Linked DNA regions of Lepisosteus oculatus. The protein of the gene in region 2 purifies or fractionates together with the protein of the main gene of each other region. This does not show direct contact. Links are inferred from orthologs where the notes say so. Each region holds a gene or a part of one and is shown on either strand. Other genes may lie near its edges.

Region 1 (6,887 bases), on a different chromosome or scaffold from region 2:
TACCAATTCAGGGTCGCAGGGGAGCCGGAGCCTATCCCAGCAAGCAACAGGCACAAGGAACCCAGAACTATTTCCTCTTCAAATACCAGGAGCTGCACTGCTCTATACAGACAAGCACAGACATACAAAAACAAGCAACTGCTGTTGTCTTTTCTATCAAAAGAGCAGTTCTCAGTACGAGTTTGCTGAGAGACAGGGGCTCATTTGCAGTGTCATGATGGAGTAGTTATACCTGATATTCTACAATCTCCTGGAAAAATCAAAGCATGACATTTTGACCTGGTCATACTATGGGACAGCACTAGCTAATAAATTGTGGCCTAAGGGGTGTAGCATTATGTATTCAAGTGTACAAGTAGGTTTACTGGTAAAACAGACTGCAGAAGACATTGCATGCTGGGTACCGGTGCTGTCCCCTACCAGCCTGATCCTGCTCCCCGTACCACGTATTCCAGGTGCCCACCAGCTCACAGGGGTAGTGCTTATCTGCATGGATTGATGGCAAAACCTCCTCGCTGTATGGAGAGTTAAATTAGTCAAACACTTCAAAGGCCATTGTCTCGGGCACAAAGCTTTTGCTTCACCTTCACCTTTGTCACTCTTGCTCAGACAGACCCCTTCCTCAGCTGCATCTTAAGTGACTGCATTGTCATTTCTTGCAGCTGCTGCTGCTTTACAGTCCTTGCTGTCGATTGTGCTTTTGCCTAGTGTTATGATCATCGGATTGTTCAGTTAGGAAACAGTCCCCTACATAGTCATAAGCCAAAACCATCTGCTTCCATATTCATAAAGAGCTCCCATGTGCATTCTACATGCCAGGGCACACTAATTCCTTTCTGTAAAGTTAAATGGTGTGCAATCTTTATTTAAATATGATCCACATATTTTTCCAAATCATCTTTTTTAAAGAGTTTTTCAAATTTGTTAGCCTACTTCATGCTTTTTACCTGTGTGGGTACAAGCAGGAACAATTACCAACACCGTGAAACAGCAGGATAAAGATCTATTATTCATTGGTCTGCAGTTATGAATCACCAAGAAGCTTTGTAATAAATGAATGAAATCAGGCATATTCATACCTGCAAATACATTGTAAATTCATAACTGGCTCATGGAAACATCAAAAGTTCTTGTTTTAAATTTTTCAAAAATTCACACATTTTATTTTTTTTTCAAATAAATCATTCCAAATGTATCGGGTGCTATAACACACTCTATGACATAAAATCCCATCACGCTCAGTTTAACTACAGCTATACAGATGTTCCTGTTTTTGCTTAGCAAGAATGATAGCAGAAAGCTCACCAAAGTTTGTTGTAGGCATCCAGGCACTCAGGTTTTACATTGTGAACTGGAAACAAAAATAAAAACATTCAAAAATTTGAGTGTTCCTCTTAAGTTAAGAAAAGTAAATAGCTAACACCACTTTTTCTCTACTTGTGGCTTTTCACAAAGAAAAAAGGTCTTGATATATTACACTAACAACAAGCCTTTCAGAATAACTTGCCAACATGATGTTTGTTGCATCTGGTAATAGCAAGGAATACAGTGATGAGCAAGGAACTTACACTGAATTTTGTACAGGTTACTGGTTTCCTTCTTAGCGAGGAGGTTAGAGTGGGCGTCTTTTCTCGGATCAACCTTTCGGACGAAGAGAGACTTGAACCAGCTGTCCTCCCCATTCCTGTTAGTAGACGCTGACAGGGCTCTGAAGGCAACAGTGAGAAGCCAAGAATGTCATTGGTACTGAGACAGGTTTTACACAAGTTTTAATACACTCGCGCCTGAAAGTGTGCATGTGCACCATAGCAGAAATACTATCATAGCAATATATAATACTTCCAGAAAAGCCACGTTAAAGTTGGAGAAATAAAAAAATATATAACTAGAGGTTCATTTACACCTATTTCGATCTCCAGTGAATAATGAGCTCTCTGTTGATTGATGCTTGTAAGCACATCGCCCACATCTGATTAGAGCTCCAGAAACTGAAATCTGAAATAACCAGCCTCCTTCCCACCCTTAATAGTGATGAGGGATACTGAAGGTCTATGAGGAGAAAAATAGCCTGAAAAGTCCCCCCACCACTACCTTCATAAGCATTTTTGGAGGTCATTAGTGTTGCTACTGACCGGGCCTAACCTTGCTGTGGTACTGAGGAGAGACTCTATGCATATGAACACATACTGTATGACGACAGTGGTCGTAAGGCGGAATAGTGTTTCAATTTTATTATAAAATGGGAATACGTCCAATATCATAATCGGTGTTACTGAATCTAAAAATAATACACATATGTCCGGATAAATCAGAAAGAATGGCATAACTAAAAATAAATATCACATAAGCCTAAGTACTACACTGAATAAACCACGCAGAAAACACTGCGTTGACAAAAAAAAAGTGTCAAGGTCAATCACATAATTAACGGTGAAAACAAAGAAAAATGGTAGTCAGTGCCCTCCTTACAACGGTAACCATGTATGCTCAGTAAACAAAGACATTTATAATGACCTTGAGCTGCAATTGGATAAACTGCAGGCACACCACCGACAAAAACTTCCTGCGAGATAGTCGGCCTGTTTCGAGGTCAATATTAAAAAGGGAAACGAAAGGAAACAGGAGGCCCAAAAGTATAACTGGTGTTGCTTTAAGATAAAGTTTTAAACGTTGTTGTTTTTTTTATATCTCAGCGCAAATTGCACACAGCCCAAACAGGGCTGGAAGCGCATTATTTTCCCAACCTACACTACAGTTTGGAGGGGGCGGCGACATCGGCTGCACAAAAAAAGCATGGACCTAAACACGCAGAAAGAGCACCTTTAGTATGAGAGAAAAAAAACACCGCGATGTTTATTACAAACTGCGCGGAAAGAGACGAACCTGGAGACGAAAACGAGCTGTCCTCGGGCTCGGACCCTAGTTCTTGCTTGATTCAGGTCGGCCCCCAAACTCCGAAGGACTCGAGTCGCCATCTTCCTCAGGCTGAGCATTTCCTGCCACTGATAACGACGTAACAGATTATCTGAATCAGGAAAGCCATTGGAGGGCAGTGAAGGCAATTTATGCAAAGAATCGACGTGATGTCTAAGGTCCTGAGCTTTCATCTTGCAAATCTGGGGGTACGCTACTCCAAGAAAAGACTTGTTTTGCTTACGGATGGTAACTGTCCGTAGGGTGCAACCTCACATTTTGGAATGGTCTTAAGATTGCGAGGTAATCATGTTTTGAACACGTGCAATTAGGACTAAGAAGAGAGAATAAAACGTTCGAAGTGTAACTGTTAAAATATAGATCACAAGACTCAAGTGAAGCTAGAAATACCTTTAATGTTTCAAAAAGCTTTTTAAATTAAAATTAGAAATGTAATTTACAATGGTAATGTTGTGCTAATAACATACAGGGAATTCCCTTAGTAACCTAGCTATATCATATACAGTATTCCCATAAATGGAGAAAACAATGTTATATAAACAACGCAGTTAACACAGAAATCATCAACATCGCAATTATATGTTGACAATTCTGTATTCCAACCCAAATTGATTTTCTATTTTGCCAAAACCATCAGATATGTAGGGAATTCACTAAACATATTTTATATGTGCAACATACATATTCTTCAAAGGTTTTAATATTCAAATCATTTCATTTATTTGACATGGGAGTGCCAAGGAGAGTAAGTGTACTGTACAGCATAGTCTCGAAAAAATGATGTTGTAATATTTACAATTCAAAAAGCTTACTGTAGCTCCGAGCGCATCATTTAACCAGATAACTCAACTGAGAATTCTCATTTATAAAGATGATCTGGAGAATACCGATTTATATAATTTTGCTATATACTGTAGTGGGTCAGCATGTGTAAATTACTATACCTTGCTCAAGGGTACAATCGCAGTGCTTCAAATTTTTCACATTAAAAAAGATGCAATTTTATTTAATAGCTAATCAAAGAATCTTGATTCCATAGAGGTACATTTTATACAATTGATTTTTTAACTTCTAAATATTAAAGCAGTGCCGTTGCACAACAGTATATCAGAAAGCTTCAAAGGAATCAAGTACAAAAGAAAACTGTTTTAGCTGTGGAATCTTCTTCAGGCATGAGGGTTCATCATACCCTATTCCTCAGCTATAATAAAATAATAAACTTTATTTTACATAGTACCTTTAAAAGTGGCTACTCAGAGTGCTTTACAGAACAAAACAAATGCACAGTGAGAGGAGACAGTTCTTCTGAAACCTAAAGACTGCAGTTCAAATATTTTTTTTCTTTCTGCTTTACTTTTCCTGTTGGAATGAACTCTGCTTGTTCCTTGATTTACTTTTCAATGTGCTAACACATTTTCACATCTGAAAAAACTAAATTAAAACAAAAATCGATCAAGACAGATATGGACATCATGACACATTGCAAAAAAAAAGTTTATTTTTAAAATGACTTTTTCAGACTTCAGAAGATTTCTCTGGAGTTTTGCTTGATGCTGCTGTGATGTTCAGTTCCTGGAGCTTCTCGGTTAAAGATTCAGCGGTAGTCTCTGTGGAGTCTGAGAGGGGCTCCAAAAACAGGCTTCCAGCAACCTGCTTCCCAGTGAGTGGGTCTACAACCTTCCCAACCTTATACACAACTTCTGCAAGTTCATGCTTAACGTGTTTTGACTTTTTCTCAGGCAGTGCCTTCAAAAGAACCACGTCTCCAACAGTGCACTGTTCCAGAGCGTCGTGTGCAAAATAAGTCTTCCTTTTGTTGTAGAACTGTGAATGACATGATATACCATAAACCTGATGTTAAAAATTGGACATTTTGAAGCAGCAGTTTATGAACTGTTATGAACTGTCAATGCAAGTTCTTTACAATACCAGAATTTGTACATCATTATTTAGAATTATATCCACTAGTTTAACTTAATTCACATTAAATCCACATCTAATCAACTCTGTAATCTGTTTTTTTTGTTTGGACATTCATTCTTTTTCTACAAATTTAAAACAATATCCGTGCATTTGCTAAACTGAGACTGGCATATATAGATAGAACATTTTCATCTTGTAGACATCAGATTTTTTGCGATAGTTGTCGCCAAAATCAAACAGATTCAAATATATAATATTTACCTTCATCAGATACCGATCCAATACAAGTCTTGTCACTCGAACTTTTGCGGTTTTCTGCATTTTGGTTCCGATCACCTTGCCTATTATCCATCTGGCGTGGACTGAGGCTTGTTTTGCAGACATTCTGACAGCTTTCAAAACCTTACGGAAAAGTAAAATCAGCAAAAGGTCAAAACCATCGCGGATCTTAAAGGTCTTTATTGTACGAAAACTGAAAATTACCAGCAGCAAAACGATACCTTCGCCTACACTGACACTTTTTTATAATAAAAAACAACTTTTTGCACTATTGTTGTATCACATACATAATAGAATAACGAATGTAAGCGCGTTTTAAGCATTTCACTATAATATAGCAAATGTATAATCTAAATTTGATAAATCTACAGGTGATTTAGATTAAGCTAATGCTTAACTCTGAATAAAAATATCTTGCAAAAGATATACATTTTTAATCTATTGCAAAATTAGCTCGCGTAAACAAAGTGTATTATAGCAAGCACATGTTCAAAATTAGAAGACAATGATCTATTTTAAGACACTGACAAAATGTCTCCCAGATACGGAACTTCTTACCCTAAAATGTAAGACAGAGTATTAGCAAAAATACGAAAATCGATTAAACTATGAAGGTCAGGAATTCGGAAATCTCTTTCTCCATGCCTTCTGTGATAAAGCGGCGCATTATGATGACGCCATAAACAGAAACTACGGCACCTCGGAAGGGGAAAGGCGACACTTGAACAATGTCAAAACAAAACCGAGATTTGTATGCAGACGCATAGCATAAATACGCGGTATGGGACATTATATCATGTTCATACAGCAACATCATAACTTTAAAATGCAATGGCGGTGGAATGCAATCAGGTCATACACATCCACATAGAATACTAATACTTTAAAAACACTTCAGGTGTTACTAAATATGATGGATAAAGTTTGCAACAATACGATTTTAACGTAGCGATTAATAAAAAACGTGAGAAATACAGTCTAGCCTGGTAAAAAAAAAATCTCTATCGCATAGGGTCAAACCTCAGTGATATCTCTATTGCTTTGAAAAAATCAAGCAGTTTTAAAAAAAAAACAGCTGCCTGCTGTTCATTCTCTCACCTGTAGAGTGAAACAAAGCCTCTTTATCGAAACTCGTGAAGTTAATCGTTGTTACTCTATTTAAAAATAAGTTTTAAAAAATACTGAGAGATTTGGTTAAAACTTTTACTTTTATTTCCCAGAAATGGGAGTTTCGGAGAACTTTTTTGTTATTGGTCTTATTTCGTTAATATTCATCGCTTAAGGGTAAGACCTAGGCGTTGAGTACAAGCGAGCCATTCGATTTTTGCTCCGCTCGGACAGGATACGTGCTTGGACTTTTTTCCGAGGACTTGGCCTTGTGTTGTTGATCTACCGAAAAGGTATATATAAACAGAAAATAATGTACTCATTTGAACCTCTAGACAGTTTTTCTAAGATATAATAAGCCTTTTGATATTGAAGTTTGTGTTTGCTTAAAAAGTTGTAGCATATGGTCAAAATAGATTGTCTCAGTATAGTTGTTTTGATTAGTACAGTTTGGGCTGCTTTGAGTTTGTGTTTCTAATGTTGACACGTTTTTAATACAGCTGTGTTTACGAACTCCTGTTTTAAAGTTTGGCAAGAAAGACCAACTTGTTTAAGAAATATAAAAGTAAGAAATGAAAAAAGAACCAGTCGAACGATTAAAATCTTTTCTGGTCGTTACTCGAACAGGAGTAATACAGCCGAAA
Region 2 (6,955 bases):
GGGATCTTCTCAGTTACCCCCCCCGGATGATCCAAGTGTAATTCAGAATTATTGACACGATGCTAGAGTGTTGAAACACTTATCTTGTGCTCAGAGCTGGGTCTTTTTGTGAAGTCCCCCTGCACCAAAGTGAAAAACACTGTCTGCCACTGCTTGAAAGACTTCTACTGTGTGGACGGCAGCAGTGAAGAATGCCACCTGTGTCCTAAACACTCCGTCTGTCAGCCAGGACAGTGGGTTAAGCAGAATGGTAAGTCAGAAACCTGGTTCCTTTCTGCTTCTATTTATGTGTTTTTTGTAACCAGTCTGTTTTAATTTGGTTTGATACACGGATGATCTTTCAGAACACAAGCCAAGTGTCAACTAAGAATCGGTTATTGATTTATATCATGTACTGTTTAAGCTAATCATAAGATGGCTTGGTGACAGAGTGGCTAGCATGGCTGCCTCACATGGCTGGGCCCTGTGTTCAGTTCCAGACCAGGGGTGCCGTGTCTGTCCGCCCTGTGTTTGTGGGTTTCTGCTGGGAGCTCTGGTTTCCTGCCACAGTCCAAAGACATAATAAGTTAAAGGGAGTCTGGGAAAACTGGCCTTGGTGTGCATGCAAGAGTGTGTGCGTGTGTGTGCCTGTATTTGTGTCTGTCTGCCCTGTGATAGACAGGCGTCCCGTCTAGAGTGTCTCCTGGCGTGTGCCCATTGGTTGCCAGAATAGACTCCAGCTCCCCTGCATGCAACCCTGAATAAGAATAAATAGACAAGAAATGGATGCACATGTTAATCATAACTTATGTGTTATTAATATGTTCAGGAACAGCTAAATCTGACACCATTTGTGAAGAATGCCCTACTGGCACATTTTCAGCAGAAGAAATGTCATTATCATGCACACCCTGGACTGTGTAAGTGTCTACATCTTTCTTTTGGTGTCTTGTAAAATAATGTCAAAATGAATGCACTAATATTATTTTTTTACTGATACTGCGGTATGTTATGAACATTCAATATCTCATCTTGACATCTTGACACTTTTGAATTGTGAGTGCTTTTATTTCCAAGAACATAATCCATGAGCTTTTGCACAGGGACAGATCATGATGTTCCTGTTTTTTGGCATGAAGGTACAGTTCCAAACCAGGATGGTGCCGGGAAAACTGAGCTGAGTGAAAATTGTAACCCGTGGTATTTCACAACCAGAGACAAATTGGTTGAAATAATATATTCTCCATGTATATGGTTTTTCCCCCAGACCAGGAAGTGCAAAAGGACTGTTTAACCCATTCCAGTCCAGTGCAGCATCTTAGAAAAGATATTCCGTATACAGTAGAAGCAGCTGATTCTAGGACTGACTACATGTTTTCCATACTCCCCAGTCACACTGCCACTACCCACCAGAATTCTGGTACTAGATTGTGGTGAACGCCTTCCTGTCATAACAGGAAGATGGATTGTAACCTGTGATATCCAGGCTATCTAACAAATCTTGATTACCGGGAGTCATTAAGGAACTACATCCTACAGTCATGAACAGAGTCAGAAATAGCTCATGAAGGTGAATGGCCTTTTAGTTTTAGACCAGGGCTCGATATCTATGCTTAGATTAAATCCAGAACTTTTCTCACACTCATATGTTCCAAGTTCTTTCTTCATGGGGGAGTAAAGATCAAGTACCTGTATGAAGTATATGCCTGAAGTCTAGTTTAGTAAAAGCACATGTAGAACCAGAATCAGTATCTGTCTTGGCCTCTTCAACAGCTCTTCTGTGGAAATCAATAGGGATAGACGATGAACAGTTTGCAGATGAGAATAAAATAATACAGTAGCAGGGCTTCGAAAACCAAATGTTATTTTTTTCTTGTGTTGATGTGTTCTCATACTGGTTTATTCTTGTATCATGTGTGTGTATTCTTTTGTCTTTTCAAGGTGTTCAGGTGGTGTCCTGTCTAGAGGAAATTCAACCACTGACGTAAACTGTAATGCATCCGTATCAAGACAGCATACCATACTTGTTGTTTTCATAGTTGTTGTTCTGGTTTTACTTGTATTTTTGATGTACAAACTAAAAACTCAGAAGTCTTAATTATGTGCTTTCAAAGCTATTTAAATATATTGTAAAGAGATTGTGTGACATAAAGTAATGTACCTCAACAGTCAACATCATTCTTGAATAGAATTGTATCCATGAACACAGTCATAAATAGTGCATGAATACCCCTTCAGCTGTATATCTTGGTTTCTTATCTAGGCTTAGATTAAATCCACACTCTATTCATATATTCCATGTTCTTTCTTCATGGAGGGTAGAAAGAAGAACATTCTGTCAAGCAGAAAGCTGAGATTAGTTAATCGATTTGCAATTTGCAGCTTCTCATTTAATGTGGTCCCTACTTTCAATTGGAAATTAAATTGTTTTGATTAAATCCCCATGTTTCAAAACTATGCCAAACTTGAATGGACATTTTTAAATGTAACCAATTTACCTATAACATATAGAATCCACTAATACTAAGTGTTTAATTTTGAAGACATTTCTTACATCGTACTTCTCTTTAGATGGAGGGTTGTATCCAGTGTTGCATTGTCAGAGCACACTAATAATAATTAATGGCATTTATTCACTGAAGTAGGTCCACTACATCCATCACTGAAGTTGGGCACCCTCCTAGGTGATGCCCAATACTACATGTCAGCAGCCCCAATACAGATCAGGCGGAGAAGAGGAATTACTTCGCTAATTAAGAGGGAACTTTAGGGAAACCAGATTATCCAAGAGGTGCAAAAATTGAAAAAGAACTGAAGGTCACGTGAATGTTAAATTTAGAAAAGTATGTAGCATTTTTGTGTATTTTTTGTGAAATAAAATGTTAAAATAAAAAATAATAATAATAATAATTATTATTATTATTAAAAATAAGCACATACTAGATTCTATACTAACACTGGATTCCTTTATATTTTCGTAATTTGCATTACTTTAGAAGAAACATATTGTACTTTCTCTGAATATGTATGTAAGAACTGAGACAGGAAAATAATATGTATGGAGTTTTTTTTGTATTTCTCGGGTTTTTCTATTGTTTGAAATAAAAAATAATTGCACTGTGAACGGCTTTTTATTCCAGACTGTTGGTTTAAGTGTTATATGCAGTTCACACCGCAGGTGGCGCAAACGGCAATTGTAAGAGGACCTCTGCTTTTATGTGGAACTCTTCTCGTAAATTTCAGACACCCTAGAAATCCTCACTTAGAACACCTTGAGGCATTATAATTACAGATCTGGACCTGATTAAGATTTACTGAGATTACATAAAACCTTTTGTACAGCACGACCTTCCTAGAGCAGCTCATTAAAGTACGTTCTCTTGTTGTGCGCAGTCCGCACTTGAACAATGCATTCTTATTTGCATCCAATGTATAAATGCCACCTGTCAAAATAAGACAAAACGACATTTTATTGCTGACTGTAACGTCCTCGCACGGGCAATTTATCGCTGCCCTTTTTAAATTCATTGCATGTATTCAAAACATTTGGATACTATAGATCTTCGTTTTGTATGCATTATGCGCAACGAATGTCCAAACCAAGATATGAATTGGTTTTAAATAAATGCTTAGAGAACTTTCTTCTGTCCTGTTATATTTAGCAGCTATGGAAAAGAAAAATGCATGATATGAGTTGTTCAATATGTTCTGTTTTGCGGGCTTTTGGTTGGACACAGGTAAATCCAACAGTCGTCTGATTGGATAAGGAATTTTCCGTTCACTTTTTAATTCAGGTAAATCCCGAACGGAATTCCAATTGGACGGGGGTAATCCCACGAGTTTTTGGATTGGCTACAGGTGTTGCCTGCTCTTCCCGGATTGGAAAGCAGGTGTGACTCCATCGTTCCGATTGGCTCCGGCTCTGGAATTCTCCGCCATGTTCCCTCAATCCTCCCGGGAGACGCTAGAAGCCGTCTAAACAGAAACTTCTGGAGTTGTTTATGATTGCTGCGAGCTGGGAAGAAAACGATACAAAAATCGAAATAAATACAAGCAATGCACGAGAAAAACAATAACTACCGGGACTAAAAACTCATTTCTGAGAATTTTTAAGCACCGAATTGTTTTTTAACTGGTTTCCTGAAGTTTTTGATTTGGCTATACTTTGCTCAGTAAGATAGCTGTCGTGGGACGGTAAATGTTACAGTTTTACTAACTTCAGATGAATACGTTATCAACAGATTTCTGTATTTTTCCCCCCCGATAGGCAGAACAACATTCTGGTGACGGACGTCTTGGAATAACATGGATTTTTGGAATAAAAAGTTGAAACTTGGAAGTGCACGACTAAATTCCAGTTCAGCCTAATTTAATTTTCCAGTTATACACTTCACATGCTGAACTAATATGTCTATTTTGTCCTCTTTAGCGCAATCATTTAACAAGCCATTGTAGGAGTGTAGTGTAACTGCTGAATTAAAGCTAAATATAATATTGCAACGTACGTCATCTCAGATCATTTATTAACTGCGTAAAATCTATTAATGTTGAGCTGGATGTTAACGCGATGAACATTTGTGTCTAACTCAAGCGGAAAATGTATTTTCCATCCTGTGGGGAATGAATGATTTTATGATTTTATAGAGTCCTCCTTTAAATACAGCAGCTCATTATTATGTGGGTCCGGCAGTTACAGTAGTGTCTGTACCGTACTAGTGTTTCGAGTAATTGCGTTTCAGGAGCAACACAACAGGTGGAATTGAGGAAGGCCAGTCCAGACTTGCCAGTGTCCCTCTGACTACTGTGTCGCGGAATAAGTAACCAAGGCAGGTGACAGGTGACCGAATTCCTAGAAGACGGCAGCATGATACAGAATCGGGGAGAAAATAAATGAGATTTTTAACCTTTTTTTTTTTTTAAAAAAAAGCGCAACCTGTTGAATTCGCCCTGTCGGTTGTAGTCGTTAACACGGAGGGAACCAACAACAGAAGATCCTGTTTCACGTACTGTATTTGCTACCCCACTTCTGTCGGATTACAGTATTGGCTCTTTATATTTAATATTTTTGGAGTACAATGCCTACCAAACAAGGATCCGTGATGAGCATGCACCTGGAATATGTGCAAATTAAGGCACATTACGGCGGGTGAGTGTAATAAGTTTAGGTTTTGTAACCTGATAACTGTTAATTAATTAATGAATTGTCAACAGCCCACGTTAATCGGCTTCCTCTAAATAAACCTCTGTAACGGGACTTTCCACGTTAACTGAGCAGTGTAGTTTTAATCCCGTTGTTGAGGGAATTTTATTTAGATGAACTGATGGTAACCACAGATGAGGTTTGAGTGCTTTGCGATTATTGGCTTTTCGATTTGGACTGCTCTCTCAACCCTTTTCTCAAAGGCTGAAAAGCAAGACAATTCGCCATACTTAGACTAAACATCTTTAACTATTAGATATGCATGTAAACAGTTTCCCCAATTTCCTGACTCCCCTTTGGCTATTGTGAATGACGCTGTCTTCCTCTTCAGGTTGATCAATAACTTTTAAATCTCTTCTCATTCGTTGTTGGCAAGGTTATATGAAAGTTTGAGGTACATTGTCTTACAACATGTTTGCGGATGGTCTTTAGATACTGCCCTGTTAAGTTCTTACTTGGGTATATATAAGTTCTTACTTGCATTATTTATCTGTTGCCCAGTCGGGGGTTTTTTTACGTTTCTGTCTTGTTAGTGTTTGGATGACATTAACCGTGTAGTGGTATGTGTCTTTCAAGGTGCCCACTTGTGCTTTGTGGGAGTTAATTTTTAACTTACTTTCTGTACGCGAAAGAGGCAGATCCCGAAACTCTGAAATCAGGTGTTGCAAGAGTTTGTGTGCGCTCAGTATTACATACAGCTGTCAACGTCACACAGATACTGTTATTTCTGAGTTTCTTAAACTCACGCTTATCCGGGTCATATAAAATATAAGAATATCACGATGGAATTTGGATAATCGTTCCATCTACTTATCAAATCCGTAATGTTTTTGTTTACTAACCTCTTCATTGTATAGGTTTGATGCTACACTATACAACTAATTTAACTTTGGGATAGTTTTTGCACTAACTGCAAATTTCATACTTAGTTCTTCTGTATGCGCTTGGACAGTTGTGTACTTTTCGATTTCTCTAATTTCAATGGAGATTAATTTTAATACTGCTTTCTCTAGTCAGTGTTTATGATTAATCCCCTTTAGTTCTTGGGTTTATTATTGAATCTACCTAGAGTCAAAACAAACTGTGACTGTCTGGGTCTGTGTAGTTCAGAACAGCTCATATATGTAAATACATCAAATGGCTATAGAATTCCTCCGTTGTTTTTTGATGTAGAACTACAATGACTGAGATAAAGTGAATACTTTGTCTCGAGCTTGAGTTAAGTAAATATAGATAAGAGAATATAGTGAGCATCATTTAAGAACACAGTTTGTTTACAAACTTTTTTGGTCCATAGAAAATTCTGCCTTTGGGTTTCTAAAGGCAAATCTTAACACTTGACTATAAAAGTTTTATAGAAAGTTTTAAAAATAATATAAAAGTGACCTTCATTAGAATCAGTGTTTTTATAGAAGGAGAACAATGGAATTGTTCTGACAGAACTTTACCAGACTACAGTCTTGGTAATTTGCTGAGTAGTGCAAAAAATGTTAGTTCTGTTGCTTGTTTAAAGCATTGACCTACTGAGATATAGCGTTAATAAGTCACCAGATTCTAGCATTGGCCTGTTGGATTCTGTTTGGCCTGGAACCTATTGCAGGTGCATGCCAGTTCAGAAAATGACAGCAGAGCAGCTGGCTGAAAAATGACCTGTGTTACACTGTTCCTGAAGCACTCCTTGACTGAAATTGACAGGAGGGGACAGTGTCTTTAAACCAGCTTTCCACACATAATGGAATATTGTGTCTAGTGTGAAAGGCAAGTCATTACTCACAC

The links. Proteins that work in one complex are often made in the same cells at the same time.
Region 1: the proteins of prkcz (region 2) and nipsnap2 purify together in Homo sapiens (affinity purification with mass spectrometry; 3 studies listed by BioGRID and IntAct, counting the BioPlex papers as one, with this or other methods). This does not show direct contact. The link is inferred for Lepisosteus oculatus from reciprocal best matches to the Homo sapiens genes PRKCZ and NIPSNAP2.

Annotation. Positions count from the first base shown.
Region 1 is NC_090721.1:5,712,993-5,719,879, reverse strand, and holds the start of nipsnap2 (protein NipSnap homolog 2), read right to left. Parts: upstream 3,022-6,887; 5' UTR 2,994-3,021; coding exon 2,884-2,993; intron 1,709-2,883; coding exon 1,569-1,708; intron 1,352-1,568; coding exon 1,306-1,351; intron 516-1,305; coding exon 421-515; intron 1-420. UniProt on the Homo sapiens protein: Protein involved in mitophagy by facilitating recruitment of the autophagy machinery required for clearance of damaged mitochondria.
Region 2 is NC_090720.1:3,965,384-3,972,338, forward strand, and holds the start of prkcz (protein kinase C zeta type), read left to right. Parts: upstream 1-3,930; 5' UTR 3,931-5,054; coding exon 5,055-5,125; intron 5,126-6,955. Other genes in the region: uncharacterized protein, read left to right, coding at 95-250, 809-899, 1,921-2,077. UniProt on the Homo sapiens protein: Calcium- and diacylglycerol-independent serine/threonine-protein kinase that functions in phosphatidylinositol 3-kinase (PI3K) pathway and mitogen-activated protein (MAP) kinase cascade, and is involved in NF-kappa-B activation, mitogenic signaling, cell proliferation, cell polarity, inflammatory response and maintenance of long-term potentiation (LTP).